Linked DNA regions of Caenorhabditis elegans. The protein of the gene in region 1 interacts with the protein of each later gene in a pairwise test. Each region holds a gene or a part of one and is shown on either strand. Other genes may lie near its edges. The genes, in order: nhr-66 and nhr-49.

Region 1 (14,549 bases):
TTCGAATTTCTGGATCATACAAATGTGACATTTCATCTTCATAGTACATATAAACATCATGAATAAGCTGATCTCGAATTCTTTTCAAAAATTTTCTAGTGCTCTCATGGATTCCGTATATTCCTGGATCGAGGAGCACAAGCCCGAGAAGAATGGTGAGCTCTGTTTCCGTTATATTATTTTTCTTCATTTTTTCTCCGATTGTGTCCATTGCATGTGTGAATGAAGGAAGGAACAGACTGAAAAATGGAATTATAATGATAAATATTTTTAGTATAAAATTTGGTAGATAAAGAAAAACGGTATCTGCCTTGTTCTGCCTTTGGGCTGAAGTAAGAATTCTAAAATCAGAAATTTTCAACCCATTTTCAACCGCGAACAACGAGTTACTGTAACTTTTGGCAATTTATGGGCCGATGTTGCATTATTTTTGCAATTTTTCGTTTTATTTGAAAAATATTATGCAATATAATATTGACGAGTTACAGTAACCCGTTGTCCACCTAGCGATACCCATGCGGGTGAGATATGCAAAAATCTTTTTTTTATGTGAATGTAGGGAATTTATGATTTCAGTACATCTATGAATTAAAAAAAAAACCTACTTTGTCGTCGTCTCATAGTCCAATTTGAGATCTTTCAGTGCTCCATTTTCAAAATATTTGGCAATATTATTGAAGTCAATATACGTATTATTGGGCATCACGAACCATCGTTTCTCGAGTCCACCGTGCCTCCAAGTCAAGTAAGGCTCTTCGACGGATTGACGCATTATCACAAAATTTCGATAGATTTTTAATTTCTCTACAATTGGCAACGGATCCAGATATCGATTTCGGTTCATAAAATCTGCAGCAAGTCGAGGTTCGATCTTCCATAAATGAAACATGCAACTCGAGAAGTCGGTGAGTTCGGAGAGAGTTTGCTGAAATATTGAAAATTGTTTTAAATTTAAAAATGCTATTAAAACATACATTCTCAATAGACGATGGTTTCCGAAACCAATCGCCTAAGCATCCAGCATAAAAAAGTTGTCGTTGTTCCGTTAGAAAATTTTGTCGACAAATGAGCTCATGAAGAACGGATTTCTGACCACATGCTGAGTTCATACAAGTCGATGCTTGTGTTGTTCGGAGTGTACTTGGAACTCTTGGAATTCCAGCCGGAGATGAAACATTTTGATTGAAACCTCCAGATGGTCCCGACGATGTGCTCGGTTCACTAACTGTCGACACTTTAGCTGATGGTTCGAATTCCGCATCGGGGCTCAGCTCTCGTTTTACACCTGCCGAATACTTTCCGATAGCATCACGACGATGTTGAACAGCTGAAAAAACATAGTCATTGATGTGCAAAATGAATGACAATTTAAAAAAACTTACAGTTTTTATCCATTCCTGAACTGATACATTTACGAAATCGACATGCTCTGCATTTTTGACCAGCTGATCCATCTGAAAATTTAAATTATTAGATTTTAAACGAAAGTAAGAATTTTTAGATTGACTACACCTAAAAGCTTCTTTTGGGACGTGTTCTAGTGTAAAACAGAAACCGGAAAAGGTGCAAAATTGTATCAAAGTTCAATCACAAAACACATTGCTTCACCCATCACACGATAACTTTTCAAGTGCATTTTCTATGGAGAACCCAATAATAAACTCTTGCTGGTACCAATTGTTTGGTTATGTGTACATCGACAATGAAACAAAGTACATACCTTTGACTACTGTACATTTTCCTCCCTTGTTACATGAATAGTCTTTATTGAGAACAACTGTTCGTCGGAAGAACGCCGAACACGCGGCACACGCGTCCACTCCGAAATGAATACCCGTCGAATCTGTACCACAAATGGCGCAAGCAGGAACCTGAATTGAAAAAAAAAGATTTTTAAAAAAATTTGGAGAAACTTTTATTTTGAACTTACCGCTCGTCGATCACCCATTGCCGGTGTGCCAGGTTGCGAATTCGATGAGCTGCTCGGCTCGTTCTTGGCTGCAACTGGAGAAATGTAAATATAGAATAGTCAGAAGACGGCGGGAAGTGATAAGAAATTAACATTGAGACAGACCAATGGTCGAAAGTGAGCAAGAATTGCTTGAAAATTCACGAAAATTGCTATTTTTTCTCTCTGATTTTTTTAAAACTGAAATTTCCTACAGAAAACTAAAAAAGACTCACCAATTTTAAATATTCCAGGAGGTGATGACTGTTTCTGACTCATATCCATTGCTGCGAACACATCAGTTGAGGCAGTCATGAAGTCTAGAAGACGAATCACGTCCATTACAGTTAATATTTTGATCTTTATTTGATTTTTTCTCGGATTTTTCTTGAAAAAAAAGAACAAATATTTTTTGAACGTTTCTAAAACATAAATCGAAGCGTGTTGAATGTACAATGGCAATGATGATGGTGGTTTTGATGATGACAGTGATGATGATGATGGTATGCTGGTAGAGACAACTATATAGATAGATGAGAACTATATAGAGAAGTACGTAGAGACTGAGAGAGTAAGAGAGTGGCCCGTGAGGGTGGCAGTTGTGTGGAACGCAAGAGATGGGAGCGAATCGCAGACGCAGACGGTAAGAGTTTCTGTTATTTTGCTCTCTCCGAGACACAGTCCGCTCGGTGAAGGGAACCGAGCATTAAACAAACTGTGATCAGTTGAGCAAACAGTTGTAAGGAGCGTGGCGGTGAAGCGCGCGAGGAGTCGGGCGGACAGAGGGCGTTACATTGAAAATATACCAGGGAAACAGTGTTTCAAATTGAGAGAGCGACGTAATATAAAAGGTATGAGACGAAATGTAATGACATCACAGGTATTCCAATATGAAACTAGAGTACGATATGGAGGTTTAGGAGGAGGAGGAGGAGGAGGAGGGCATAGACCTACTTAATGCAAAAGATGAGACAGCGAGAGACATAGATCAAAGTATCATAGGGTTCCCCTCTTCTGATACGTAGAAAACATTTAGTGCAAATTTGAAAATGTTGTTCAGTTTTTTCAGTAACCAAATAATTTTCTTAACATAATATTTCATGATCAACATTATCAGATGAAACCACTTGTATGCTCTCGAGTATATCAAAATTAGAATAAAAGCAGATTAAATAGTTATTGTCGCCACATTCAACTTGTAGCCTATAACGTTTTTGGAGAAAATCAAAATATCATTTTTCTTTTCTGCTAAAAATCTCTCTCGCACTTTCAAACAGCATTTCAGCAGAAATCAAAATATATTTTCGTCTAGACTCCAAAACGTCACCAGTGTAATTTCTTTTCGTCGGTGCAAGTTCAATCTCTAATCCCAACGATCTTATCACTAATCACATACTTTGTTCCCAATCTCTGTTCATCTATCAAATTCAACTTTAGAATAAAATACACGTGTGTTATGATCTTTGACCAAACACAAGAAAATATACGAAGCCTATGTCTAGCGGTTCCCCTGTTAGCTCAACAGTGTTCAAACATTCTGACGTTGATCATTGAGCATGAGCATCGTTTCTTTTATGTGGTCAGACTGATCAAATCTAGTGGGATTATAATCAAATGTACGAAAGCTAACTAATACTTACTTAACGTTTAGAAAAAAGTTCCAAAAGAAAGAAGCAAAATGCTTTAAAGGTGGAGCGTGAATGGCGTTTTTGCTCCAAAAAACCCCAAAATTGTCTTAGAATAAAAATCGAGAAAGAATGAAAAATTAAACTTTAAAGAACGCAAATTTTTATAATTCCACTTTGAATTTCCTCCAAAAATTAACTGCAAGAAATGAACGACGCCCACTTCTCCACCAATCAGACGGAGTGTGCGGAGTTCGAAAATGGGCGTGGATTCTCATTTTGGAGGAAATACAAACAGGGAAATTTTTATTAAAATTGAAAAATAACGTTTTTTAAAGTTGGGTTTTTTCCCGATTTTTTTTGTGTTAATTCTGAATTCCAGACTATTTTGGATTTTTTGAAGCAGAACCCCCATTAAGCCATGAGCAAAAAATCTGATTTCCTTAATTTTCAAAAGCAACTATGTAGTTTTAAGCTAGTTAGAGAGGCTTCGGGTGTTCGAGATTGCATAATGCCTACCTGCCTACGTACCTGCCTATTTGTTTTACTATGGTATAAATTTTTGGTTTTTGATATTCTCAGATATTTTGTTGAAAATTCAAATAAGAAATTCAAAAATGGTAACGTGTGCATTTTGCAATAGGTACTCGGTCGGTAGGAAGGCATACACTTTTTGTTTCTATAGGGAATAATTATGTCAGATACTTCATTGAAAGTTATTAGATATGATCCAAATATGGATTTCGATTTAATCATGAGCTCAAAAAATGTTTTTATAAATAGATAAAAATCTTCATCATCACCACCGGAATCATTTTCCAAAAAAAGTTTACTTTTTTTGAAAAGGTTCTCATTTTAAATAGTTTGCAAATAAAAAAAACTCACGATTTGGAATATATTGCAACTGATGTGGATGCTGCATTGTGTGATGCTGTATCGTATCCATTGAATATTTTCGAGCCATCGAATTTTGTTGCTGAGCCTGTTGTTGTTGCCTCTGCTGCTGCTGATGCTGCTGTCGATTCTGTTGATCTACAGTTGTGACATGACCTGATGGCATCAAAGGGGCGGGCTTTTGTGGCAGCGATGTTAATGGTGATGGTGGTGGAAGAGTTGGAGCTGAAACTACTGTAGATGCTTGTGATGTTGACGGCTCGGAGCACGATGACGATGATGGGATCGCCGGTGAGCCCACCGCTCTAAAAAAACAAAAATTACGGTAATTATTTAATATGGAATATTTCGCAAATCGAGTTACGGTTACTAGAAGTCATAAATTGATTTTTTCAGTACTATTAAACTTTTTGAAAAGTTGTGATTTCATATAGAAAAATTGTAATTGATATAAAAAAGAATTCAAGATCAAAGAAAACTTCCAATAACTATAGAATTGCTAAATGAAAATCTACTTGAATCGAGGTTTTTATTCGAAAAAACTTGCAAAAAAGAGAAAAACATTTCAATACAAACTTTTGCAAACAAATCTTTGACCGATAAGATCATTGATAAAATTATTGAATGAAAACACAGTTTTTTAAAATGATTAAAAGATGAAGCATTGTAAATGAGAGAAAAACAACAAGAAATGGTCAGTTTTTGCATCAAAAACTTGTCTTCTTTCTTCCATCAACAATGCGGACATCCATTTTGGAGAGTGGGTGACGTTGTCGGGAAAAACTGAATGAATGGAAGAGAGGACACCTAATCGTTATACACAATCTTACTACGGTTTTATGACTTCATAGATCAAGAAGAAGAAGAAGAAGCAAGTCAAATAAGGATGAAATGAACAAGAAACCACCGCACTGGGTGGTATAAAATTAACGGAAAACAGCTAGGAAACGGAAGAAACTGGAGGATCTATGAAATTCGAGGCGTTGTTGAATTTCGTGATGATGGAAATGAAGCATACGTGAAGAGGGAAATGGAGACACAGGCATTACCAGCATCACACGTACTCGCTTCAACGTCGTCTTGTGGTGGCGACACACTCATGTGTTTCTCTCTCTCTCTCTTTCTCGTTCTCTTACACTTTTCTCCATCTCTTTTGGAAGTGGACAACAGGAAGACTTTATGCAGAAAAGTTGCCAGAGGACAAACACGTTGAGAAAGTAGTGTAGGTGCCTAGCAACAACACCATCATTGTCGTTTATTTGTTTCATTCTCGATTTCTCTTGGAAAAAGCGCGCCTCGTGGCTTTCCGTCATGTATGATTCTATCTTTAGCGTAAATGAGGTCGAATCGCGAGGAAGGACTGGGGCGATTCAAATGCAAATTGCGAAAATGTTTGCAAGGAAGTAGGAAGGTGAACTTTTGGACAGAAGGCTTCTTCTTTTATACATCGTGCAAAGGTTGAAATCGGTGCCAGGCAGAACTGAAGTAAAGTACCAAGCACTTTTTGCCACCTGATGTGTTTTTCAGAAACTAATGTCTAGTTTCAAAACACACTTAAGCCTCATCTATTCAAACCAAAACATAATCACCCGGTGTATCATCAAAATAAAGTTTTGCAAACGTAAAAATAACGTAATCGTAGCAGTGATCCTATAAGTACGAAAATTGGTAGGTAGGGAATTTTCTCCGCCGTCCGTCCGAATTTTTGCATGTAGAATTTATTAAAACTCTATAAATGCTTGGGAATCTTATTGATTAACACCTGTTTGGGTTATGGAAAAGCTGACTATCATTTTCCTTAAACACGTGAAATTCTTGCTGTTTGAATCAATATAAAGGAACATTCGGAAAAATTGAAGAAGAAAAGGAACACCGAAATGGGTGAAATTTTCTTTTTCTTTTCATCGTCTTTTATCTTGTTCTCCGACTGCCCTCTGCCACTTTCCCTCACCAGTGATCTGTCAGGCGGACAAGGTGGAAACCGAGGGATTGACAAACACTCTAAGGACACTACGCACAGGAGTGAAGAAGAGTCCGTGAATACTTATTAGTTTGTAGGTCATTTCTACGAAAAAATACAAACGGTTGGCCACCTCGTGAACCCGATCTTTGTACAAGAAGTTAAAACAGTCGAAAGTCGATTTTTGCGTATGCACAAACGGTTGTTTATAGTATAAACACAAACTGATAACTCTAAGTCACCATTTTATCATGACTATTCGCTGAAATTGATCGTTTTGATCTAACGATCCGAATGATTACACGATGAACACCATTCAAAATAAAACTGGCGAAATTAATTTCAACTGCTTTGAAATGTGTAATTGTAGGCTTTCAGCAGATTTTAACAATCTAATGTAGATCACTTCAATATTCTAACACACTAGTCTCATTCAGCTTTTCCACTGAAGATCAACGAGATTTATAAGATATTCACATGACAGTTTCTGGACAATAGAACAAGTGATAACGTCTTTATTCTAGATGCCCGTAGTTTGTAGTCTTTAGAGTTTGTCAAATAGATGTTGAACATTTAATAGGGCGAAATGGGGATCATCGGAACAATAATCGAAAGCAAACGGCTGTCAACTTGAATAGAAATATTTTGGCAATAAGCCAGGTTCTAAAGTACGACAAAAGCCTGCTAGTTCCATTTTGGAATCAACACGATCCTGATCTATGCATTTCTTTTTGAAAAAATCTTTATATAAACATCGAAATGATGATAGAAAATGTTGTAGGCCAACACCGATAACACATGAGTTTGTGGTATTTTGCAAGCAGGCAGGCGCACGAAAGAAAAACCGCAAAAAGCGATGATAAACCGGAAAGTTTCCGGTGATGGGGTATTGAGTTTGCTATAGCACACAGTTTTCTGTTTTCCCGAAACACAAACACGTGGCGCTTTTGGATGTTGAAGTGTGCGCTAGCGAAAGAAAAGAAAGGAGAAATACGTAAAATGATACATTGAGCCTTTGAACTTTCTCGTTGTGTGTGGTTCTCTGTGGTTTTTTTCCTTGCAGAAAAAGAGACGAGACTCATCAACGCAAAAGTTCTCATGCAGTCTGGGAATTTCAAATTATGCAGTTAAGCACAAGATGGGTCAGAGGAGGAAAGCTTTAGTAAAGAGAAAGTCGACGAGTTGGTAATGAGACGAGAGTTTCCACCTGTTTCGGATATACGGAAGAGGCAAAGAAGTAATAACGGAGAGCCGGCTAGCTTGGAAGGAATTATAAACGGAGCCGATCTACCAAGGCGGGTTATTTCTGACCCCTTCAATTTTCCTCCTATTATCGGTTTGTTTTGAAGCGCATCTGCTGTCATTGAGCGCTGCAAAGCTGTTTCGATGGTCAGGCGGAACGGACAATTGGGGATGGATGAAGGACTTCGGGCTTTAAACGATGGACGGAAGACCTAACAATTTGGTGTTCGACTTTTTATATAATAGCTTGATTAAGTTGCTATATAAATCCGTTAAAACTTGAATATAATGTTGCACCACTTGTTCCCGTTGATCTTATAATTGAAAAATCACATCGACTAATTTAGAAATCATAGAAAAGTGAGTTGCAAATTGTAAAATAGAGCTGCTTCAGGTGCACATATAAACTTCAGTCTAGTCGAGAAAAGATGATTACAATGAAGCTTTCTTACAACAAGTATCTCTGGAACGTTGCAGCACAGAAATCCCTTCATTTCTACACATTTCAACGACAGGAGCATGCCAGTCAGCTGTACTCTGCACCTTTCTCCCACACTCTCCACTACTCATGTGTCATGCAACATACAACGGATCTTTGTTTCAATGCTCTTTTACTTGCATTTCCGTTGTCGCGCATGCACATTTATATATATATATGAGAAGTCTGCTCCCAATGACAAGGGCAACCAACTAAAATTATGAAGGATTATTTGACTTTGTTCTTTGATTTTGAGTTTCTTTATTCTAAACTTATGAATTAGCAATGTACTCTATGTCTCTTCTGTATGTAACATCACATTTTTTAAGAAAATAGCGCTGCTCAGCTTGATTAGATTTATCAGACACTCCAGCGTTGTCAAGCAGAAATCAGACAGATGAAAAGTACAAAGTCACAGAGCAGGAGGAAAGATATGGATCAAAGCACAAGACTTTGAGCGAAGATAATAATGAAAGATCAAAATTCAAATTTAATTCGGAAGGTTCAACTTTTTGATTATTTCTTTTTGAATTCCAATTGCAATTTTTTTTCCATACAAAAAACTGCCTATTTTCGGCAAAATTTTGAATTTTCAAAAGAAAAAAAAACTCACGGTAATAAGTTGAATCCGTCCAGTCTAGCGAACTGTAGTAGAAGTTCTGGAGGCAACGATGTCAACGAACCAAGCCCAGTGAGTCCTTAAAACGAGCATGATTGATTAATATTTCAGAGAAAACAACAATTGTTTACGCGAACTACGACTCAATTTCTCCCGCGCATTTCTCCCCCATTTTTCTTGATTGACAATAACAATCTACCGTACCGATTTGTGGAGTCATTGTCGCTGTGAGAATTGGCGTCTGGGATTTCCCGGAGGCCAACGAACCGATGATCGGTGTCGAATTCTGGATGTCAAGACATGATGTTGATGTTGTTGCGGGGGTTGAGAGAATTCCTCGAGCGATATTGATCAAGTCGACTTGAGATTTTAACTGAAAATAAAATATTTTATTGAATTAATTATTAAATTTCATGAATTCTTCAAAGAAACAAGTTTTTCGACTAAAAAAAATACAATTTGTGCGCGCAGGGAACCACAAAAAAGAAACAATTTGTTGAAGAAAATGGTTCAAAGGAAGGCTTGGTCTCGCAACGATTTACCTGCGTTGTGCCAGAGACTACGATACAATTTAAAAAATCAATTTTTTTATTGTAAGCATAAAATTTTATAGAATTCTATTTAATATTAATAGGAAATTTGATATTAAACTTTATAAAATTCAATTTTTATGCAAACCTGTGTCATTCCTTGCCACACCGACGATGCTGATGTTGTCGTCGCTGTGGGCTCATTGATTGGCGGCATTCCATAGAAGATGTCTGAAAGAAATCTGAAAATAGTTGACGTTTCTAATTTTATTAATTCGAAACAAAATTGCGATCAGAATAATGAATAAATTGAGCTCAACAGAGAGCAGGCGAGCACAAGTCGAGTTCTCAAAAAAGAGGCGGGCTGAAGTTTGCTCGCGAGAGCTTTGTAACAAGAGCAAGGTAACCGGAAGGCCATCGAGGAACGAGGAAAATTAGAATACTGAACTGACAAAAGGACCTTGAAAATTGAAAGTATGAGAAAATGGGCGGGGCCGCCGGCAGGAGACACGTGAAAGATCAGCAGAAAAAGGACGGATTGAACGAGAAATCAAATGCGCCAATCTAATGGATTCGCTTTTATTCTTTATCTGTATATATGTATGAGATGTTGTGACGACGACACCATCGGGACAAAAATAATCTTAGAAAACAAAAATTTTCAGCAATTTTTCGCTAATAGTAAATTTTAAAAGGTATTTTTTTAAGAACGTAACATGTTTTTGAAGATGTTGAAATAAATAAATTGATAAAAATTGTAGAAACGTTTTTCACGAAAAATTATCTCATTTCACGAAAGCTTACAGGCTTTTCGAAATGCTTTTCGCTGGAAAAAATTTGCTACCGAAGAATACAGCAAGTGCGCTCTGGTGAAATCCATTTGTGCGCGAAGTTTGAAATTATTTCTACAGTAAGATGAAATCAGAGAAATCACAGTTGTCGAACATTTGTAATACACGATCGTCGCATTATTTGTGGTTTATGGAGCCTCAAAAGAGAATTCAACAGTAAAAATGTGCATTATCGCCACAAATGGAAAACGCGCCTCGATATACGATATTCTGCAGCTAATCACACAAAAATCGGGTGGATATTATACGCAGTCACGAGGGATGTGCAGCATACCGTCCGTTCTGATGCTCAGCAGTGTGCATACAAAAGGGGCTCGAGATGGGATATGTGCACAGCTTCTCGCATAATAACTTTAAAACAGACTACATTTTGGCTATTGTTAGAGATTTTAGAGAAGAACAAAAAATATGAAAATTCGAGAAATCAGGCATTGTGGGTAAATAATTATAACTATAGTCGAAATGAAAAAATGTTTTTATTTTCTGTTATGCTTCAGCTGTTCATCGTTTGATTTTTCTCATAAGACTTTCTCTCATAAGAAGTTGAAAAATTCAAATGTTAGAAATACATTCGTGTCTAGATATTTGTAGACATGTCGCGTTGTTAGGCTCACTGAACACGTGCAAATTTAGCGAATATTATGAAAATTTTCGTAGTGTAGCAGAAAACATTTAAAAATCAAAATTTTCCGAGAAGCACATTAAAAAAGAATACAAATGTGTTCTTTCAAGTATTTGACAGCTTTCGTTTAGGGATTCATTCAAGTCAGCAGCAAGATTTCGGACTTCATGCCTACCTGCCTAGAAGTCATGGATTCAATCCATAAAACAGTGCGTAAATGGCAGGTGCACTTTTTCTGGTATAACTAAATAAACATGAATTGAAATGTTACTGTAATTTGCTTGCTGATATTTGAAGACGTTCATTTAAATGTACTTGAAAGCATTATCAATTGGGAAATAGTTTAAAAAAAAATTTTTTTGCAGTTTTTGCAACCAAAAGTGTAGATGCTCGTTTATCTTAATGACGCGAGTTTGAGTTTGAGAGTTGAGTCTCGCTCGAAATCCGGAAAATAAAAATAAAAAATCAATTATCGCCTTCATTTTGATTATTGGTTTCAATTTAAAACATAGGAAGTAGTTATCTTTGGTCCAAGCCTTTTGTTTATAATTGATTTGAACATGAACAATTGAAAACTTTCTATTAAAAATCAATTCAAGTATCCAACAAAATTTCCTACAATATTCGAAAAAAGAGGCATCATACTGTATAAAATTCGCTTTCATCATAAAAAACAAAAATGGGACAAACGGTTGGTAGCAAGCAAGAGACGGTTTTGTATTTGAAACGAATCATGACGAATCAAGAAAACCAAACGAGAAAAAACAAAAGACAATGTCAATTGTACGGTTTTAAGAAAGTGATTCAGAAGGATTCGTAAAAACATAAAATCTTGAATTTTTGAGTATTAAAAATCTCTTCAAATCGGGCGATGTAAGAATCAGAGGTTCCATGTTTGAAATATTGAACCATACAAGACAGATGAATGAGATATGGATTGAAAGGCGGGAAGGATATTCTAAGACTAGACAACAATCAACACGGAATTCGGACAACCGATCGAACATCTTCGAATCGTTGAAAAAAACCGAAAAGAAAATTACAAGAGAAAGTGTTTAAAAAAATTGTTATAGAAAATATTCTAGAGACCAGTCTAATCTACTAATGTACACTCAAAAAAATTAATTCTAAAGTAGATCAGATTGAAAGTATGTTTAGTTTTTAGGCTAGAACATTAAAAAAATAAACAAATTATTCTAAAAAGAAGATTCTTAAAGGGGTTTTTCAAATCATTTTTTCCCAACGGTGTGTCTTAATTATTTTTAACCAAGTGGAAAGCTTAAGATTTACCCATCTCTTGTTGAGAAAGAATGAAAAATGTTTATGTATGTACATTGAAAGTAGGTACGTAAGGTTGCCTAGAAACTAGACATGATTGCAAAGTCGTACCTACGTTGAGTGCATATTCTAACCGGTTTGCTTTCAATTTGAAACTATATGTAGAGATTACATGTAATTTTTCCCATTCGGTCACATTCGGGAAGCTTTAAAAACACAACAGCCTAATTTTGCAGTAAAACGTATATGGTAAAAATTAATCCGCGTGCAAGACCTAGTAAATCTACACTTCATAATTACCAAAAATTAGAGTCCCACGCCTGGAGCCTGCAGAGAAGTACCCCATAAAAGCCAAAGACTAGAAAAATGCCGAGAAGATATCTAGGTTGAAATATTAAAAAAAACTACCTTCAAAGTATAAACTTTCGTTTGACAAAGAAGATAGAAAGATTTATTCGGAGTCTGTGTATCAAGTTTGTCCAATAGAACGAGTGCAGCAAAATAGGCGGAGCTTCTTGGAAATTGAATGTAGTTTTCTTATTTACATTTTAAACTTATTGTTTTTGTTTGCAAACTTGAGAAAGTTGATGTCTGTGATGAAAAGCTGTGTACAAACTACAACATGCTCAATATTTGACTATCTCTCATTCAATACGTCGAAACTGCTACAAAACACGATAACTGTATGGGCGTATGTGTGTATATGATTGTATAAGTGCAGTTAAAGAAACAAGAATATTATTTCATGAGGTGAAGCCTAGATAGATGGGCGGTAATACATATAGATCAAATGAATGATAAGAAAATAAGGATGAAAAGTTTGAAGAAATAATAGGATGTAATTATGAATATACCCTATTTCTTTATTATATTGACTGTTTTCACCTTATTATAAAATCGGAAAAGATGGAATAATAACATAGATAAGATACCCGAAAAATAGGATCTTTTTGGTGGACCTGGACACTCGGTACATTTTATTGGGTAACGGAGTTATTTTATGAGTCGGTTTTGGAGAAAGTTTTATCATTTGAAAAGTTGAAAAGAAAATTAATGATATTTATTAACATATAAGATAAAATATATACTTTTTGAAAGTTATTTGATTTTTTAGATGAGCAGTGGAAAACTTGGCCACAAACTTGTTCGTCATCTCATAGCTTGAAAGAGGACAACGATAAATATTTCTTACAAAAAACATTTTCATGACGTGTGAAAAATTTGGACTTTTGATAATATTTGTATCATTAATTTATCTTAAGATTTAAAAAGCTTCAATATCATTTGAGATAAGAGAAAACTATTGAAAATCAATTTGCGATATGTTGCTTATGTTAACGCAACGTTTTAACATTAAAATCCTTTTTGACCAACCAGAAGGATAAATAAACATAAATAATTAACAAAATCCTTAACAAATTACTGATAGAAATTATAATCGATTCTGAACGATAGGAAATTTACAATAAAAGTATCTATGCAGAACCGTAAAAGGGCACACAACGAAACAAGGTCAGAATGCGGAGATTTATCGAATCGGGTTTTTAATTTAAAATTGAAAAGAAAGAGTAAATGAAAAGCAAAATAGCCAATTTGAAGATGAGTATGAATCTAGAGCAAAATACCGAATTAATTAATTATGAGAGCAATTGTATTCACAGACATTTTTTGATTTAAGCTTTTTTCCAAATTTTCTGTTAGAAATTTATTTGGATTTTAAATTTCAACTTTTACATTTTAAACTTAAAAATCTCTTTTTTGTTGTACCTTCAACTGTTTGTTTTAGAAATTCAACACAGGCAAAACTGATAAAATGATACTAGACACAACGACACATAAAAGGTCACATCATCTTGTGATTGTTCATTAAAACAAGTGGCCCTTCAAATCATTTGTCGTGAATCAAAAATCTGCAAGAAAATCAAATCACTTTCTCGTGGTTAGGCTTTTGATTTCATGAATCATGTAGTTTGTTTCGAGATGAAGTGAACTTATAGAATTTTCAGTTTGTTCTTGTGTATACAGTATTTCCTTCGATAGTATTGTACTACTTCATTTTAGAAAGTTAAATTTCAGTTAATTTTAGAGATATCAATAAGTAATCAACTGCGAATCGAATGAAAAAGAAATAACAAATAGATTGTCAGTTTAGATTTTTGTATAGGTAACCCCAAAACTGAAACATAAGCTGTCAAAGTTGAGGTCGCAAAAATTAGAAATGTTTTGAATTCTATAAACGAGGAATACTGAAAGAAAAAAGAGACAGGGAAGGGGGTATTATAACAGGGCGAGAAAGACAGTCACTTGAGGTTGTAGTGAGAACCTTCCTCGCGTCAAGGTAACAAGAAAAGATGGAGGCATTTGATAAGGAGGAAGAACGAGGGAGGACATGGAAGACCCCCGTCCCCCTCTCTTTTCATTCAGCCACTCATATTACAGACACAAAAAAGGTCCTGCTGGTCTTTGCCTTCTCCGTGTTACCATGTCACAACGAACCGAACA
Region 2 (16,611 bases), on another chromosome or scaffold:
TTCACTTATCTTTCTGTTCTCAACCTATTTTTATTGTTACCTCCTTTTTTGCATATTCAATGTTCTTCCAGAGCATTGAAACGGAAAATGAGATTTTGGAATTCGAAGATTAATATCTGAAATTATAAGCTCTACGAATTTCAAGATATCTTTTTCTCATCATCTCTGCGTCTCATACAATTCTCTCACACACTTCAGGTTCTCTCTTCCCCGTCCCCGTCTCTCTCTCTAATTATATCTAAAGTTACATACAAACTCTCTCTTGTACCCCGTCCCGATTTACGGTGCCGGCAATGCTGGTACGGTAACACACGGCTTTTGATGCATCGGGTATTACTCTTATTTTTCCAACTTAAAACCCCAAAATTATGTACATTTTGAAAACCTCCTGCATGCCTCTACAGTTCTCCCTTTTTCTCTGTTTCTCCATCTCAAAAACTGTATTTCTTTTTTTCTCCAAATTATGAATTATATTGCAAAAACCCTCACGAAAGATCAAAAACATCATAAAATCAAATAAAAATTAATAATTAAATGTTTTCAATATTGTTACTCTAGATCTCTGGAGTATTCAAAATTCTCGCATATTTCTTAAATTGCTATTACAGATTTTCAGATATTTTATTTCAGACTGACGCAATGGAAAGCCTTGAAACAGCTTTAAAACAGGCAGCGGCAACGGTGAGGACTTTTTTAGATTAAAATTTTTATAATAAAAAAAAAAGAATTTAACCGACGATTTTTAAGTTTCCTCACATTTTTTTATACGTTGATGAGTAAAAAAACGTAAGTATACATATAAATGTATTTAAAAAAAAAGGAAAATGACCAAAATTTAAAGCTATTTTGAAAATTTATGTAAAAAATTGCAGAAACCCGCTGAGCATATCCGAAATGTCTGTCTTGTCGCTCACGTGGATCATGGAAAAACCAGTTTTGCAGATTCTCTGGTTTCAGCCAATGCTGTTATTTCTAGTAAAAACTTTAAAAATGTCTAACTCGACAACGATTATCTAAATTTTCAGGTCGAATGGCGGGAAAATTACGTTATATGGACAGTCGAGAAGATGAACAAACACGTGGAATTACTATGAAATCCAGTGGAATCAGTTTGCTCTGTGAGCCACTTCTCATCAATCTCATTGATAGTCCGGGACACGTGGATTTTTCTGGAGAAGTGACGTCAGCATTGATTCTTTCCGATATTGCACTTCTGTTGATTGATGTTATTGAAGGAATTTGCTCACAAACAGAAGCTCTTATTCGTCAAGTTATCAGAAATGGTCAAGCAATGATTCTTGTTATCAATAAAATCGATCGATTGAGAGTTGAACTGAAAATGTCGTCAAGTGAAGCATATCAACATATGTCTCGTCTTATTGAAGGAGTCAATAGTTGCATTAGTCAGGTTCTTGGAGGAATTGTATTAGAAGATGATACATGGGGAAATATCGAAGAATCGGAAGCAAAACTTCATTTTGATCCTGCAAAAGGAAATGTTATTTTCTCATCAGCACTTCATTCATACGCTTTTGGATGCGAAGACTTTGCTCAAATAGCTGCTGAAAAAATGAAAGTAGAAAAATCGGCATTACTTCCTGCAATGTTCGGAGATTTTTGGATTGATTCGACTGGGTCTATCAGAGATGGAGCAGCAGTTAAGAATAAGGCAACACTGTTCGAAAGAATCGTTTTAGAACCACTTTGGAGAATTCACGATCTTGGACTTGTTGAAAATGATGCTACCAAGCTTGCCGAAGCTGCAAAAAAGCTTGGAATTAATTTAAAATCCAGAAGAGCCAATGAAGCTTTCGACGAACTTATGAGAACTTGGTTGCCACTTCCAAAAGCAAGTTTCAGAGCAGTAGCAAGAGCTCCAAATGTTAGATCAACATTTGATACTCAACATCGATTGGATCATCTGACAGGTCATCGTCTGGATCATCCATTAAGAAAATTCGTTCTCGAATGTAATCCTGAAGCAATGACACTGGTTTTTGTTGTGAAACTTCTTCAGACAGAAGACAAAAATCTCACTTCTCGTAGAGCAATTTGTCGTGTTCTCAGTGGGACACTGCGTAAAGGAGACACTTTATACGTCCTTCAACAACAAAATGTGAGTTTTATTTCTTAGAATATTCGAAGAATCGAAATTGGAATAATTTTGGGAAGAAAATTAGAAAAATTTACTGTTTTCATTTTATTTTTCCTCGAAATAAATTATTAGAGAATTAAAAAAAATTAATTTTTCGATTTTTCTAATTTAAAAAAATGTTGAAAAATATTATTCGCAAATTACAAGAATTAAAGATGTAGCAAATATATCTTGATTTTGATGTAAAAATAATTCAAAAAATTTCAATGAAAAAAATGAGCGGAAATTATTAAAATTCGAGTTTTTCTCTGAACGAAAAAGGAAACAATTTTTCCAAAAAAAAAAAGCTATGCCTACCAAGGTGTCACAAAAAAAATACAAAATTTTCTTTTTTTTTTGGTTTTCCAGAGTCAATAGAAAAATTGAAAAAAAGCATGTTCAGACAAGACTATGTTTTTTGTTTTAAAAAGGAACAACTTTTTATTGTTTTTCTTTTGGAAAATCGTTTGTTTCCCAAATTATCGGAAAATCAAAAAAAAAATAAAAAAAAATTGAAAAACGAACATTTTCGGTTTTCCGATATTTTAAAACCCAAATAAATTAAATTAATATTTAAAAAATAACATGTTAAATAGGTTCCTACAAACATTATCTCTAATAAAATAATTTTTGATTTTTTTTGAAGATTGTCTGATATTGGCATTTTTTTCGGAACCTGTTTGAAATTATGTCCTAAAAAAATCTTTCAAAATTGTTTTTAATTTGAAAAAATATTTTTTCAGAATAGCAGCGAAGTGACTTCTACAAAAATCGATCGAATTTCAATTCTTCGTGGTCGTGATTCAATTCCAACCGATACAGTAACATCAGGAATGATTTGTACTATTGATGCAGAAATTCTATTACAAAATACTACTCTCTGTGAGAAACCGGATTTCCCTTGTCTCAAAATTGGATCTCAAACTGGAGAAGCTTTGGTTAGAGTTTCGATCAGTACTCAACAATTGGATGATATGGACGATTTAAGAGAAAAATTGAAATTATTAGCTCTACTTGATACAAGTCTGAAAGTGATGGAATTGGAAAATGGAGAATTAGCAATGGTGACAGCTGGAGAAGTACATTTACAAAAATGTATCAAGGATTTAAATGATTTGGGACTTGTGGATTTAGATGTCTCTGAACCAATTGTTCCATTTATGGAGACTGTAATTGAAGATTCTGTACTCTCAGCACCACAAATTATTGAACAAGAGACCGAATGCCGTATTCGAGAAGCTTTATATATCAAATTGAGAGTTGTTCCATTGGGAGATGCCGTTGTCGAGGTTAGGACTTTTTTTTGAAATTTTTTGAATTGTAAAAACATAGTCTAAAATTAGGAAAATTATTTAGTACTTTTTAAAAAATTAAAAAATTGCGAAAAAAATTAATTCGGAAACATTTTTGAATTAAAAAATCGCATGATGGTTACTGTAACGCGACCAAATTTTCTTTTTTTGTTCTAATTTTCTTTGAAAATGAAAAAAAAACACTCCGCAAAATAAAAAATTTTTTAACCGGTATCGATTTTTCAGGAAAAATCGAAAAATCGAAAAACGAAAGTTCAAAAAATGAAACATCAGAAAACGTATAATTAAAAAAAGGTATAATTACCAATAAATAGTTTCGAGCTATTTTTCGAAAAATCAAAAAAAAAATCAAAATATCGGAAAAACCCGACACCCTTGGTTTTGAAAGGTTTCAAAGTTATCTAAAAAATTCGATAAAAATATAATAAATGGGAAAAAAGGAAGCAAAGCGGAATTTTGCCGAATTGAAATGAAATTATTGGAGAACATTTTTTTTAATTTAAAATTCTCAGGTTATTATGCATTTCAGAGAAATTTTATATGTATAATTTAAATCAAAATCCTCAACGAACTCGGCATTTCGTCACAACTTTTACACCAACTTTAGCAACTTAAGCGCCAATTTTAGCGTTTTGCAACTTATCCACCAATTTTAGCAACTTTTTAACCAAGTTTAGCCAATTCTAGAAAAATTTTCAGTGCAAATTTTGAGGGCATCCCCAACTTTAACCTATTTTGCCCAACTTTAGCAACTTTTTTACCAAAATTTAGCAACTTTTGCACTTGGCATTTCTAAAGTTGCTAAAGTTGGTGGATAAGTTGCGGCGATTTGCCGAGGAACCTTCAATTTTTCAGTTGCTCGACAAAAATTCTTCGTTAATTTCATCGATTCGTCGAGGAGAAGCCGATCAAACCGAAATTGATGAGTTCCAAAAAAGATTTACATCCGTTTGTCTGGAAACGCTTCCAACATTGAAAGGATCTTGGTGGTTTCGAAAACCGAAGGAAGTGATTGAATCAATGATTGATCAAATTTGGGCATTTGGACCAGAAAGAGCAAGAGCCAATATTCTATTCAATAATGTTCAAAATTATGATAGAGATTCCGTTTGGAGAAAAACAGAATTTGGTGTTAGAAGATATGATCAAGCACTTGTCGCTGGATTTGAATTATTCTGTAATACTGGACCACTTTGCAATGAAATTATGCACGGAATAGCAGTTATTGTTGAAGAATGGAATGTTGATGAAGAAGATGGAGCTATTGGAGGACAAATGATGACTGCAATAAAAGCTTCATGCTCTGCTGCTGCTAAAAAACTTGCACTCCGCCTTGTCGCTGCCATGTACCGGTGTACTGTAACTACAGCCAGTCAGGCATTGGGAAAAGTTCATGCCGTTTTGTCACAAAGAAAATCGAAAGTAGGAATGGAGAATTGTAGAACATTTTCAAATATAGTTAGAGATTATAAATTTAAATATTTATATCCATCAGGGCAGTAGATTTTTCGCTTTTTTGAAGAAAAAAAACGATTCTATTTTAAAAACCGAAAATCCTGATAACTGATAAATTTAAATTTTACATGTTTTCAAAAAAAAAAAACACTAGAAAATTTAGAAAGAGTGCGATTTCGATGAAAATATTCAAGTTTTCAAAATAAAATTTCAAATTTACAAAAAATTAATTTTTAATTTTTTTTCCGAAAAAAAAATCCGAAATATTCTGATATAGCTCTAAAAATGACACTCGAAATTATGAAAAGTTAAATTTTGACCAAAATATTTAAGTTTTTCAATATATAATTTCAAATTTACAAAACTTTCCTTTTTTTTCAATTTTTCGGCTTCGAAAATTTCCTTTTTTTTGTTTTCGAATATAAACCTGAAATCCATGTCAATATTTAATGTGATTTGCCCATTGAGCATGTGAACGAAGTATTTAATTTTTGTAATTTTCGACGCATCTGTGCAAATAACGTATATATGGAGAGAATATAATGAATGAATCTTCTTTCCAACTATAATCTAAATAGATTTTATGGTTTAGTGTGCCGATTAAACAAATAAATACGGTATATCCAATCTCATTTATATGAGCATTTTGTTTCAAAAATTTCGAATTTTGACTATTACTTTAATGGCGTTGTATAAATACTAAATTTTAAATAAAAAATAATTTTGAATTCAGGTACTCTCCGAGGACATCAATGAAGCTACAAATTTATTCGAAGTGGTCTCCCTAATGCCCGTCGTCGAATCGTTCTCTTTCTGTGATCAACTTCGCAAGTTCACATCTGGAATGGCTTCTGCTCAACTTCAATTTTCTCACTGGCAAGTCATTGACGAGGATCCTTACTGGACGCCGTCTACATTGGAAGAAATTGAAGAATTCGGATTGAAGGGAGACAGTCCGAATCATGCAAGAGGATATATGGATGCAGTTAGAAGACGTAAAGGACTGCCAACCGAGGACCTGATTGTGGAGTCGGCGGAGAAGCAGAGGAATTTGAAAAAGAATAAATAATTTTTTTTTAGTTTCGTGATATTTTTTGTTGTTTGAATTTCCGGTTTTGACACATTTTAATCTTGTTGATTGTTTTACTTGTTTTTTTTTGTTCGTTTTTTTCAAAGAAATAATTAAATTGAAATCATCAATTTGAACTTTTCGAAAATATTTGCTCCAAAAATGTTAACTTATCATATAAGGCATATCTGAAACATTTTAATTTCACTCGGTTAACACTGTTTCATTCACGTGTGGTGGTGTCAACGACCTGATGGGTATAGCGTAGTACGGGAGAGAGGGTCGAGAGGAACTTTCTTACAATCTTTCTCTACCTCTTTTCATCTATTCATCTCTAAAGGTCTGCGCCTCTCCTGTTATCGATTGTCAACGTGCTGTGGGTGGTTGGCTGTCGTTGTTTGGTGTCTCTGTCAACTCCATTCTCTCTAGTTTTTCATATTTCTCGACATGTTTGACCAACCACTGTCTCTTTTTTGTCCTTCTAACCGACTGGCCTGCCAGCTTTAGCTTCTTCTTCTTTTTCACCATTTTCTTTTCTTTTTTTTTCGTTTCCTTTCTGTTTGCCAGTAGTTCAGCTTTTTTCCACAATCAAAAGTTCATAGATTTAATGACTGACTTTAAATGAGACGACGCCGGTCCCAATTAGCTTTGAGAGTACAAAGTACGGGGCATCGAACAACACTGAACTACATAATGTAGTCTCTCACTTCCTGTTTATATGGGGTGATTCGCAAACTCCTTGTATATACTCATCATTTTGTTAGTCAACTCATTCCGTTCTCACGATATGGACTACTTTCTTGATGCTTCTAAACATATTCAGTTGAATCAAATTGATGAAGAATCTTCAGATGATTGTAAGTAAGTTTTATAACGGACACATCAAGCGACATTGAAAGAAAGTCAACTTTTAAAATATCGACTTTCATGCCTTTTTGAATTTTCCACCAAACTGAGAACTACAAAACCAATCAGCGACTTGCTCATTGAAATCCAGAAATTAATAGAATGATTTTTGGATGGCTTCTTTGCAAAGTCCACTATATGGGTATATATGGATTTTTATACGTTCAAATAATATGTACATTTTTGAGTTTATTAACCTGGCTCTTCTAAAAGTTCTAAAGTAATTCAAATGCCCTTTCTCTTAGAACGTCATTCTTCGATGTGTCTCCTCATTTTCTACCAGAATTTACCAAACCCTACAACTGGATCCTCGTCGGTCACTTATTCGATGCATTACATCTCCTCGCTCCTTAGATATAGATCTTACGATCTTGGAGAGAAAAGGAACGACACTACTTAGCGCGACCGTCTATCTTATTCGATCCGTCGGACAAGATTGATCAAGAAGACTTTGAAATAGCATCCGCATTTAAGAATACCTCATTGGAGTGAGCAGAGAGAGAGAAAGACTACTGGAATCTTGCCGAACACATCGACCAGTTTTAGAGTGTGCCACATCAGTCCTTTTCTGATCTTCGCGTTTCCTTTTGTTTGCTCAAGACGGATGATTTCTCAATCTTCTCTACTTTCGCTACAATAGCAACACGTTTAGTCCTACACTACATCTGCTAAACTGGGAGGCTCGAAATTTCCGAGCTATCAAGTTTCGGCTTGCCCTTTCAATGTTCAAATTTCTACTTTTATTGGACTCGATTAGGATACTTTATTGAAAAACATTCTACATGAGCTTCGGTCTTTTTGAATATACGTTCAAAATTGTTCTATATTCAGAAACAATAAATTGAAAGTACCAAGTTTGTCCTTCTAGCAGTGGAAATTCTAATTATATGCTGCTGAATTATCTCCACATCCTCACCAATAAGGTCTAATATAAAACCTACAATTTCTGAACGCGGCCCATTCATCTGCCTAGTGGTCAATGCATCTCAATTGTGTGCACTTGCCGGTCCTTTATTATTAAGACAACATGCGTTCCACTCCTAAAGACACCATTGAAACACTATGACGTCATAGTCGATTTGCAATAGATACGGCAAATCGTTTTTTTTAATCCACCGTATCGTCAGGACATTTTACATTAGGCTTATCAATACTTATATTAAATTTTGTCTTATTTCTTGTGTGTCTATCATGTGTTAAAGCCATTGCATTGACTCTGATTTCTCTACTCGTCTGACACTCTCTCTACCTCCAACACTATTTCATCGTTTCCATGAACAAGTGACATTCGTCGTTTCTCTTTCACTTTGAAAACTTGCGTTGCTATCTGTTGTTTGGTTTTTTTCGTGTTTCATTTGTTTTTTTTGTTGTAAAAAGTTTAATTGTTTCAGTCATGGACCTAGTAGATCCTCTTGCGGAACCATGTGCCGTTTGTGGTGACAAATCAACTGGAACCCATTATGGAGTCATTTCCTGCAACGGGTGTAAGGTGAGAAGGGATAAATTATAAAATAATAAAAAATAAATTATATTTAGAATTATGTGAAATTATAAATTCAGTTCTCGTCACGAAAAATGATTTTGGAAATTATATTTTTTCCTTTTTTGAAAAATGAAAAATCTCAGTTTTTGCCACTTTTGGAAGTCGTTGATCAAAAAAATTGTTTCCTTATAATTTTATGGACTACTTATGTTTCAAATATTAATAATCAAACACTATAGGGATTCGATAAGCGACAGGGCTATAGTTTTCTCAAAAAGTGGCAAAAACTGTAATTGCCAGTTTTTACTGTCAATAAAAATTTTCTAACTTTTTTTGTTAACTTTGGTACCACAGGAGTAGTTTTTAAAAAACAATTTCCTCACTTTAAAGCAAAGTAATATTGACTCCACCTACAGTAACCCACGCTTTTCGCGCATGCTTTATTTGAAAACATATTGTTCGTGACGAGACCGAGTACTGTACTTTATGGTTGCAAAAGTTCGTATTAATTTAACTGGTTTTTGAAAGTTATGATTATCATCTCGAACTTTTTAATGATTTATCCCGCATTAATAAAACTCATGAATTTCAGGGATTCTTCCGCCGAACAGTTCTTCGTGATCAGAAGTTCACTTGCCGTTTCAACAAAAGATGTGTGATTGACAAAAACTTTCGATGCGCGTGTCGTTATTGTCGCTTTCAAAAGTGTGTACAAGTTGGAATGAAACGAGAAGGTATTCATTTCTCTTTCCGTTCAATATTTGAATATATCCAAAACACAGTGGCCTCATGTTTTTCACCAGTGACCTCTTTTCAATTTCGTCCGTGAAATGAGATCGGCCGCAAAAAAGATTCTAACTTGAGATATTGATTCGGAAATTTGCCCCGTTAACTCAGAATTTAGAATATATTCTTCTTTCTTTCCTTTTCCTGTCCGTAGATTCCATTTCAAAACACGATATTTCTAAAAAAAAATTGTTTCGTAGTTTTCTATCTAGAAAAAATAATTTTGGAGCAAAATATCGTATCTAATTCTACATACGTTTAAAATTTGGATGTTTTTTCATGTTTAATTCGTTATTTTAAAGAAGAAATAGAGTCATAATGACAGAACATAACTGTTAAAAATTGTATTAAATTTTGAATGATTTCTTTTTTTTTAAATTTACCAAAAAATTATATTGAAACAAAGCCACAATAAACATTACCGAAAAACGCAAAAATGTCGAAAATATAGTAAACTATAATTATATTTCATTCATTTTCGTGGGAATTCAAAAATACAAATTTTAACAACTATTTTCTGTCATTCAGGTCCATGTTCTATCATCTGAATCACATCCACGATCAATTCTACAATTTAATATATTTCAGCTATTCAATTCGAACGTGATCCTGTAGGTTCACCAACATCTGGAGCCAGTCTCAACGGGACTCCATTCAAAAAAGACAGAAGCCCCGGATACGAGAACGGAAACAGCAACGGTGTCGGATCAAACGGTATGGGACAAGAGAATATGCGAACAGTTCCACAATCCAGCAGTGTCATTGATGCTTTAATGGAGATGGAGGCTCGTGTCAATCAAGAGATGTGTAATCGATACCGAAGATCGCAAATCTTTGCAAACGGCAGTGGGGGGTCGAATGGAAATGACACAGATATTCAACAAGGAAGTGATTCTGGAGCATCGGCATTTGCACCACCAAACCGGCCATGCACAACCGAGGTAGTGAGTTGGATGGTACGTAAATTAAGAGGTCACATTGTTTTATTTTCAGGATCTGAATGAAATCTCCAGGACAACACTTTTATTGATGGTTGAATGGGCAAAAACAATTAATCCATTCATGGATCTTTCGATGGAAGATAAGATCATTCTACTGAAAAACTATGCACCACAACATCTCATTTTGATGCCAGCATTTCGAAGTCCCGATACAACTCGAGTTTGTCTCTTCAACAATACTTATATGACACGTGACAATAACACTGACCTCAATGGATTTGCTGCATTCAAAACAAGCAATATAACACCCAGAGTTCTTGATGAAATTGTCTGGCCAATGCGACAACTTCAGATGAGAGAACAAGAATTTGTATGTTTGAAAGCACTTGCATTCTTGCACCCAGAAGCCAAAGGACTCTCGAATAGCTCACAGATTATGATTCGTGATGCTAGAAATCGTGTTTTGAAAGCTCTTTATGCATTCATTCTCGATCAGATGCCAGATGACGCACCCACAAGATATGGAAATATTTTGTTGTTGGCACCGGCTCTCAAGGCTCTGACTCAGCTGCTCATTGAGAATATGACACTTACAAAGTTCTTCGGATTGGCAGAGGTATGAAAGCTTTTCTTGTTTGAATCCGTACATAAATGATAGCTTCAGGTGGATTCTCTGCTCTCCGAGTTCATTCTCGACGACATCAATGATCATTCGACGGCTCCGGTCTCTTTACAGCAACATCTTTCATCTCCGACAACGTTACCGACTAATGGGGTTTGTTTTTAATTATTTTATTAAACTTTTTATTCTAAAAAAATACAAAAATAGCGAAAACGGCCAATGATTTCAGGGAAAAACCGTAAAATTCTCTTTTTAAAAAAGATCTTCCATTTCAAAATTCATATTTTTCAGGTATCTCCGTTAAATCCAGCCGGATCAGTGGGAAGTGTTTCGTCTGTTTCTGGAATTACACCAACTGGAATGCTCTCAGCAACTCTTGCAGCTCCATTGGCAATTCATCCTCTCCAATCACAAGATTCCATTTTGAACAGTGAGCAGAATAATCATATGCTCTAATAATTCCATTTTTTCTCCCAAAACTCTTCACCTCATCTCATCTCCAGTTCTATTCCGAATCTGTGATCTTTCATCTTTTCCCTTATTGTTGTTTTGAATCATTACCCCCAATTTATAAAATAGTCCAGAGCCCAGCTATAATGTACATAACAAAAGAAGAATACCCTTCCGTCTCAGTAGTTGTTTCATCTTGAAACCTGTCTAGGCCATCTCTATATCATATCAGGTTATTGTTCTCGTCTCCCCCAACTCTTCTTCCTTAATCTTTTTTCCAGACGGGCTGGCTCTCGTTTATTCTTGTGATTATTATTGTCAATCAAATTATCAGTTTAGTACTTCAATATGTATAAGAAGTGACTGTCTTGGCATTTCCCATCTCTATTTAGAAGATTCCCTTCTTCCCATTTTCCTTCCTTCTTTTCAAGCGTTCGTACCAATTTATGTTTGCAAAAAGAAACTTTTATTTATACTTTTTCAAAGCTCATCGATAAAATACATTATTATACCATATTTTATTATTCGTATCAAATAAACACAATTGACTCATCATTATGAATTCACTCGAGAAGTTCAATGCCACGTCCTCCACCACCTCCACCAAGACCGTAAGTTTTATTGCAATTTAGAAATTTAGAAGAATTTACAAAAAGTATTGTTTTCCAAATGTTTGAGCACCTGGTGTGAGCTGCTGGAGGTGAAGCTGAGCTTTTTAGTTTTTTTTTTCAAAATTAGATTTTTTTAAATTGTTTATTTCTCTAAAACTCTTCAAATTGATGATTTTTGTTTTGATTTCAATTGACACGATCATCTAAATGATAGTGGATATATGACCATTTCCCAAGACACTTGAGATCAATTCAATGATCCGAACAGTGTACATAACGGGGTAAAAGTGATGATATGTCTATTGGAAGAGGGAAGATGAAGAAATTGTGAGCATTTAGGCTTAGGTGGGTGAGTTCACACCTCTTGGAGCACATACACTTCAGCCAGTTTTGGACATTTTATTTAGTTTTTTTGGGTTGCTTGTTTTGGTTTTTTGATATTCTTTCCATTCTGAGACAAGAATTTGGTAACTAACAATTAGTAGTAGATTTCAAAACGGTCAACATTTTATCTTTCTTTAAGATCTGTTCTTAAAATCAAATGTGAACCTTTAAAAAGTACCGTAACAACTTGTTTCAGTTTTCAATCATTTTTAAGAGAAAATTCTATTAAGAACTTGAGAGAAATTTTCAAAAATTGAAGAAAAGGTTAACTTCGGGAAAGTTGGTTACTGTACTACTTAAAGGCGCACACATTTTTGTGGCTTCAATTTGGAATAAAATCCATCGTGGTGAGACCTAGGCATACATCATTACATGTCTATCAATTCACTTTTTTCTATACTCAATCTTTATTTGTTCCTAGACCTCAAAAGAAATTAATTTTTCAAGTTATAGAGAATATTGTAAATCCGTAAAAATGTAGGACAGTTAGCCCGAAAATATTTATTTAAGGTTCTAGTATTTGCGGGATTCATGTCTCAATATTTTTCACCAATACATAAAATTTGTGGCAGTATTACTGTAGAAGTTGACAGTATTACTGTAGTAGTTGTAGGGTTAACATCTGTATTACACACTGTGCAACTTTAACTATACGATGATCGTTTTCTGACCTACACTATTGAATTCATGACTGTCGTCCATAAAACAACAGTCAAAACTATCACATCATCTAATATATACAGAAATCATTCAAAAACTATTAAAAATCAGTTCAAACAAGTTTTCAAATATAGAACTGTAGACATGGCTTAATATTTGAATTGAGTCATTGTCCATCACTCATATATTCACTAAACATCAACATTGTGGATCTAGTCTTCAGAGTTTAGCAATTGTTTCAATTTTCAAGTAAATTCTATTAAAAGCAAAGCTTTCTCAATGTTCTCGCCCATGTCTTATCTGCGGATCTCAACAAAATCAGACATTTCTCATAGTTTAATTAACTGAGCGTTCAAATTTTGTATCATTGCGAGTCTATGTAACTATAGTCTTCTCGCGAAGATCTTTGAAATTTCAAAAAAAAATCTAAAAAATCTTGTGCAGCTCACCGAGTTCAAAAAAACTGTCGCATTCTCCCCATTTTTTACTCGAACTTGAATGATCTTGAGAGTACGCGTGAAACTGTGCAATCATGACAAAACGGTGGGAAAATCCACATTTCTGTTGGCACTTACTGCTGCCAACCTTGATTCCTCAAACATTCTTCGGAAACTATTCTTCAGTTTCTATTCTCACAAGTTATTGTAACCCAACTTTGGCTTATACAAACTGTAATTGAATACATCTACTATTCGGTGTGTATTGTTTTATTATTATTATTATGGAATAAGAGTTCTGTTTTCCCCCTCCACCGATGGACGCTCAAGCACTTCCCCAACATTCCGCTTCTTCTAATAAGACGGGTGGTTCACCTGGTGCACGTGTTCCAAGGTATCGAAAGTTGAAAGTTTGTTTTAAATTGCAATGGCAGGCAGGCCTGTTTTATTTCAGTTTTCCGCTAGTTCTGATATGATGTTCTCATAAATTTGCAGAAAATTATTACCAAAATTTAAAACACGACTGGAAGACAAGTTTTGACAATTGCCCTTTGTGGAGTATGTTTAGGATCAGTGGTTTTGGCGTTTTTGAAATTTCAAAACATAATTAAAACTCATACAAGTACTGTTTTAACTGTAATGGCCTGGTGAAATCATCAATTCATTAATGATCTCACTGTAAACTTCTTTCTAAATATTTCTGCATCTCCTGACTTTTGTGACTGTTAAAGTACCTCTTAAGATCCTATATTTTCAGAATGGTTTTCGCTGAAATAGTGGGAACTCTCTCATTCCTCCAACCACAAGCAGATGATGACATATTTGACAGATTACACTACTATTATACAACAACATTTTTGCTTTTAACTGCTGTGAGTGATAATTGAAGATTGTTTTATTGCAAAACTTTTTCAGGTTTTAATATCACTTAAAATGTTCGGAGGACGACCTATTGAATGCTGGCTTCCCGCAGAATACAAGAGTAGTTGGGAAGATTATACAGGTAATAAAAATAATCTAACAAATTAATATTTAATTCAGAAATGTACTGCTGGGCTCGGAACACATACGTTACTGCTTTTGAGGACGATAATCTTCCTGAAGTTGTTAACAGGGAGTATACCATGGTAAGTTCCACCTTATTTGGGAGCTTCACAATTTTTTGTATACCATCGCCAATAAAATTGAAAAATTACAATGTTCCATTCTTTCCTATAACCACAATTTTCCAGGTATCATATTATCAATGGGTGCCCTTCTTCCTTGTCTACGTGGCTTTCAGCTTCTATGCGCCATGCTTAATATGGCGACTTTTCTATGACAAATCAGGAATTCGACTCAAAGATATTATGGGATTTGCAAACGACAAAGCAAATGTGGTTCCAACTCAACGAACTGCAAATATTCGTGGACTTTCAGCTCATTTGTCATCCGTTTTTAAACATCGATTCAGAATTGGAGAGAAGCATCCCTACCATCATAAGTCTGTTTTTTTCTTGGAATTTATTATTTGGAAAATGGTAATTTTCAGGGTATTCCGAATTTTCAACGTTCGCTACTACGAATCATATCTGACCTACTTGTATCTAGCAATAAAATGCTTATTTCTGATGAATGTGCTGACTCAGGTAGACTTTTAATCTTTTTTTCCATTTTCAGCTGGCAACTCTTATATAAATTTACAATTCCAGATGTATTTCATGAGCAGATTCTTGGAACTTGACTCTCATCGATATTACGGTTATGGAATATTTTATGATTTGATAATGGGAAAAGGATGGAAAGAATCTTCAAATTTCCCCGTCGTAACATATTGTGATATGCAGATTAGAATACTTGGACATGTACAACGACATACTGTCCAGTGTGTTCTTGTTATCAATATTTTTACAGAAAAGGTAAATCAACATTAAAAACTTCTTCTAATGATAAAAACCGATATCTCCAGATATTTTTCATTCTATGGCTCTGGTACACCATGTTATCTCTAATTTCCTTTGGATCCATACTCTCATGGATTTTTGCATCAATTCCATTTAATCAACGAAGACAATTTATTGCTAGAAGACTAGAATTGGCTGATGTTAATTTCGAAAAAAGCCGATTCAAACAAGAACTTGATGAGGTAAGAGTGTTGGGAAAGGCTTCTATAGATAAAAATAAAATTACAGTTTGTTCGTGACTATATAAAAATCGATGGAATTTTCGTGTTACGAATGATTACAATACATTCTGGTATTCTTATGTGTACGGATATTGTTGATACAATGTGGGATCAGTTTTTACAAGAATCAGGTTAGTAGAACTTGAATTATATTCTTTTATAGGATATATTTTTAGGACATGCAACAATCAGAGAGATTTTGGAAGATAAAAGTTACGGTGACGACTATGATAGATCTGCTTCTGCTGGTGGTTTATCTATTGAACCAAGTAAGTTTTCAAGAACGTAGTGAATTACCTGACCAAGCGTACTAAGAATCATGCATTTTCTTCCACCGAACAATTTGGAATTACGCATTCTCGGTCTTTTTTTGTGATGGCTAGACCTAGATGTTCAGACTGATTATCATAAAGGTGCTCATCTAGTTAATGCAAATTTGTTCTGCCGTTTAAAAAAGTATGATCCGGTTAAAAAAGAGTCTCGCAAAATTTGAGTCAGTTTCAAAGAGAAACTATTTCCGAGAGGTGTTAGTATCATTCATAGCTTATGAAAAATAAATACATTTTAGACTTGTTCTCATTTGCCTGAATACTATGCACCCTTTTCAGGTCTGCGACGGAAAACATCAGTTTTGGTTCCTCTCATGAGTCGAGAAGATTTACATTTGGATCAATCTCCAACTACACCAGCTCCTCAATTCCTTCGACCTCCAAGCAGCCGAATGGCTTCAGCTGCGAATGTATAATAATTTCAATATTTTGTTGTTTTCCTGATACCGAATTAATTGTTGTTACAATTTCAAATATTTGCATGACATGAAATAATAATTATTAAAATAATAATAAAACCAACATAGAAAAAGGAAACAATGAGGTGGTTTGAGCAGGTAAGTAATGTGTCCGTTGGGACCCGATTTCTAGAAGTCAAAGTTTGGAAGTATTTAGATGGTTTGAGCAGGAAGGGAGGCAAGATGAGATTATGGTCTCTTGAATATAAAATATTGGAAAATTGGAAACTATTCTTCCAATTCAACTTCTGCTTTAACGGACGAGTTCACCGGTGATGCCAGACTCGTTTGTAATATCTGAAAACAAAAATTGTGAGATTGAAATTGTCTCTGGAACTTATTAGGGTCTTCCACAAAACCACCATAAGCTTAACAGTCACAAAGCACAAAAGAAATCCGCATATTTATT

The links.
Region 2: the proteins of nhr-66 (region 1) and nhr-49 interact in a two-hybrid assay, tested with the Caenorhabditis elegans proteins (3 studies listed by BioGRID).

The regions. Positions count from the first base shown.
Region 1 is NC_003282.8:8,227,065-8,241,613, forward strand, and holds the start of nhr-66 (Nuclear hormone receptor family member nhr-66), read right to left. Parts: upstream 9,519-14,549; 5' UTR 9,514-9,518; coding exon 9,445-9,513; intron 9,140-9,444; coding exon 8,971-9,139; intron 8,846-8,970; coding exon 8,761-8,845; intron 7,951-8,760; exon of another isoform or gene 4,773-7,950; coding exon 4,459-4,772; exon of another isoform or gene 2,291-4,458; coding exon of another isoform or gene 2,269-2,290; coding exon 2,185-2,268; intron 2,005-2,184; coding exon 1,931-2,004; intron 1,872-1,930; coding exon 1,721-1,871; intron 1,455-1,720; coding exon 1,383-1,454; intron 1,328-1,382; coding exon 975-1,327; intron 926-974; coding exon 606-925; intron 240-605; coding exon 1-239. Other genes in the region: T09A12.8 (AraC family transcriptional regulator), read right to left, coding at 14,481-14,549. UniProt on the Caenorhabditis elegans protein: Transcription factor. Binds to regulatory elements and regulates transcription of target genes, including the potassium channel accessory subunit mps-2. Negatively regulates transcription of mps-2, thereby modulating age-dependent memory decline.
Region 2 is NC_003279.8:9,862,960-9,879,570, forward strand, and holds nhr-49 (Nuclear hormone receptor family member nhr-49), read left to right. Parts: upstream 1-6,758; coding exon 6,759-6,828; coding exon of another isoform or gene 6,829-6,832; intron 6,833-8,268; coding exon 8,269-8,366; intron 8,367-8,952; coding exon 8,953-9,094; intron 9,095-9,734; coding exon 9,735-10,090; intron 10,091-10,139; coding exon 10,140-10,703; intron 10,704-10,751; coding exon 10,752-10,862; intron 10,863-11,000; coding exon 11,001-11,165; downstream 11,166-16,611. Other genes in the region: K10C3.5 (Elongation factor-like 1), read left to right, coding at 640-681, 873-975, 1,026-2,116, 2,878-3,423, 4,303-4,869, 5,636-5,971; inx-20 (Innexin), read left to right, coding at 13,569-13,645, 14,009-14,123, 14,167-14,254, 14,293-14,378, 14,484-14,734, 14,783-14,879, 14,943-15,149, 15,200-15,376 and 3 more; Nuclear hormone receptor family member nhr-69, read right to left, coding at 16,431-16,499.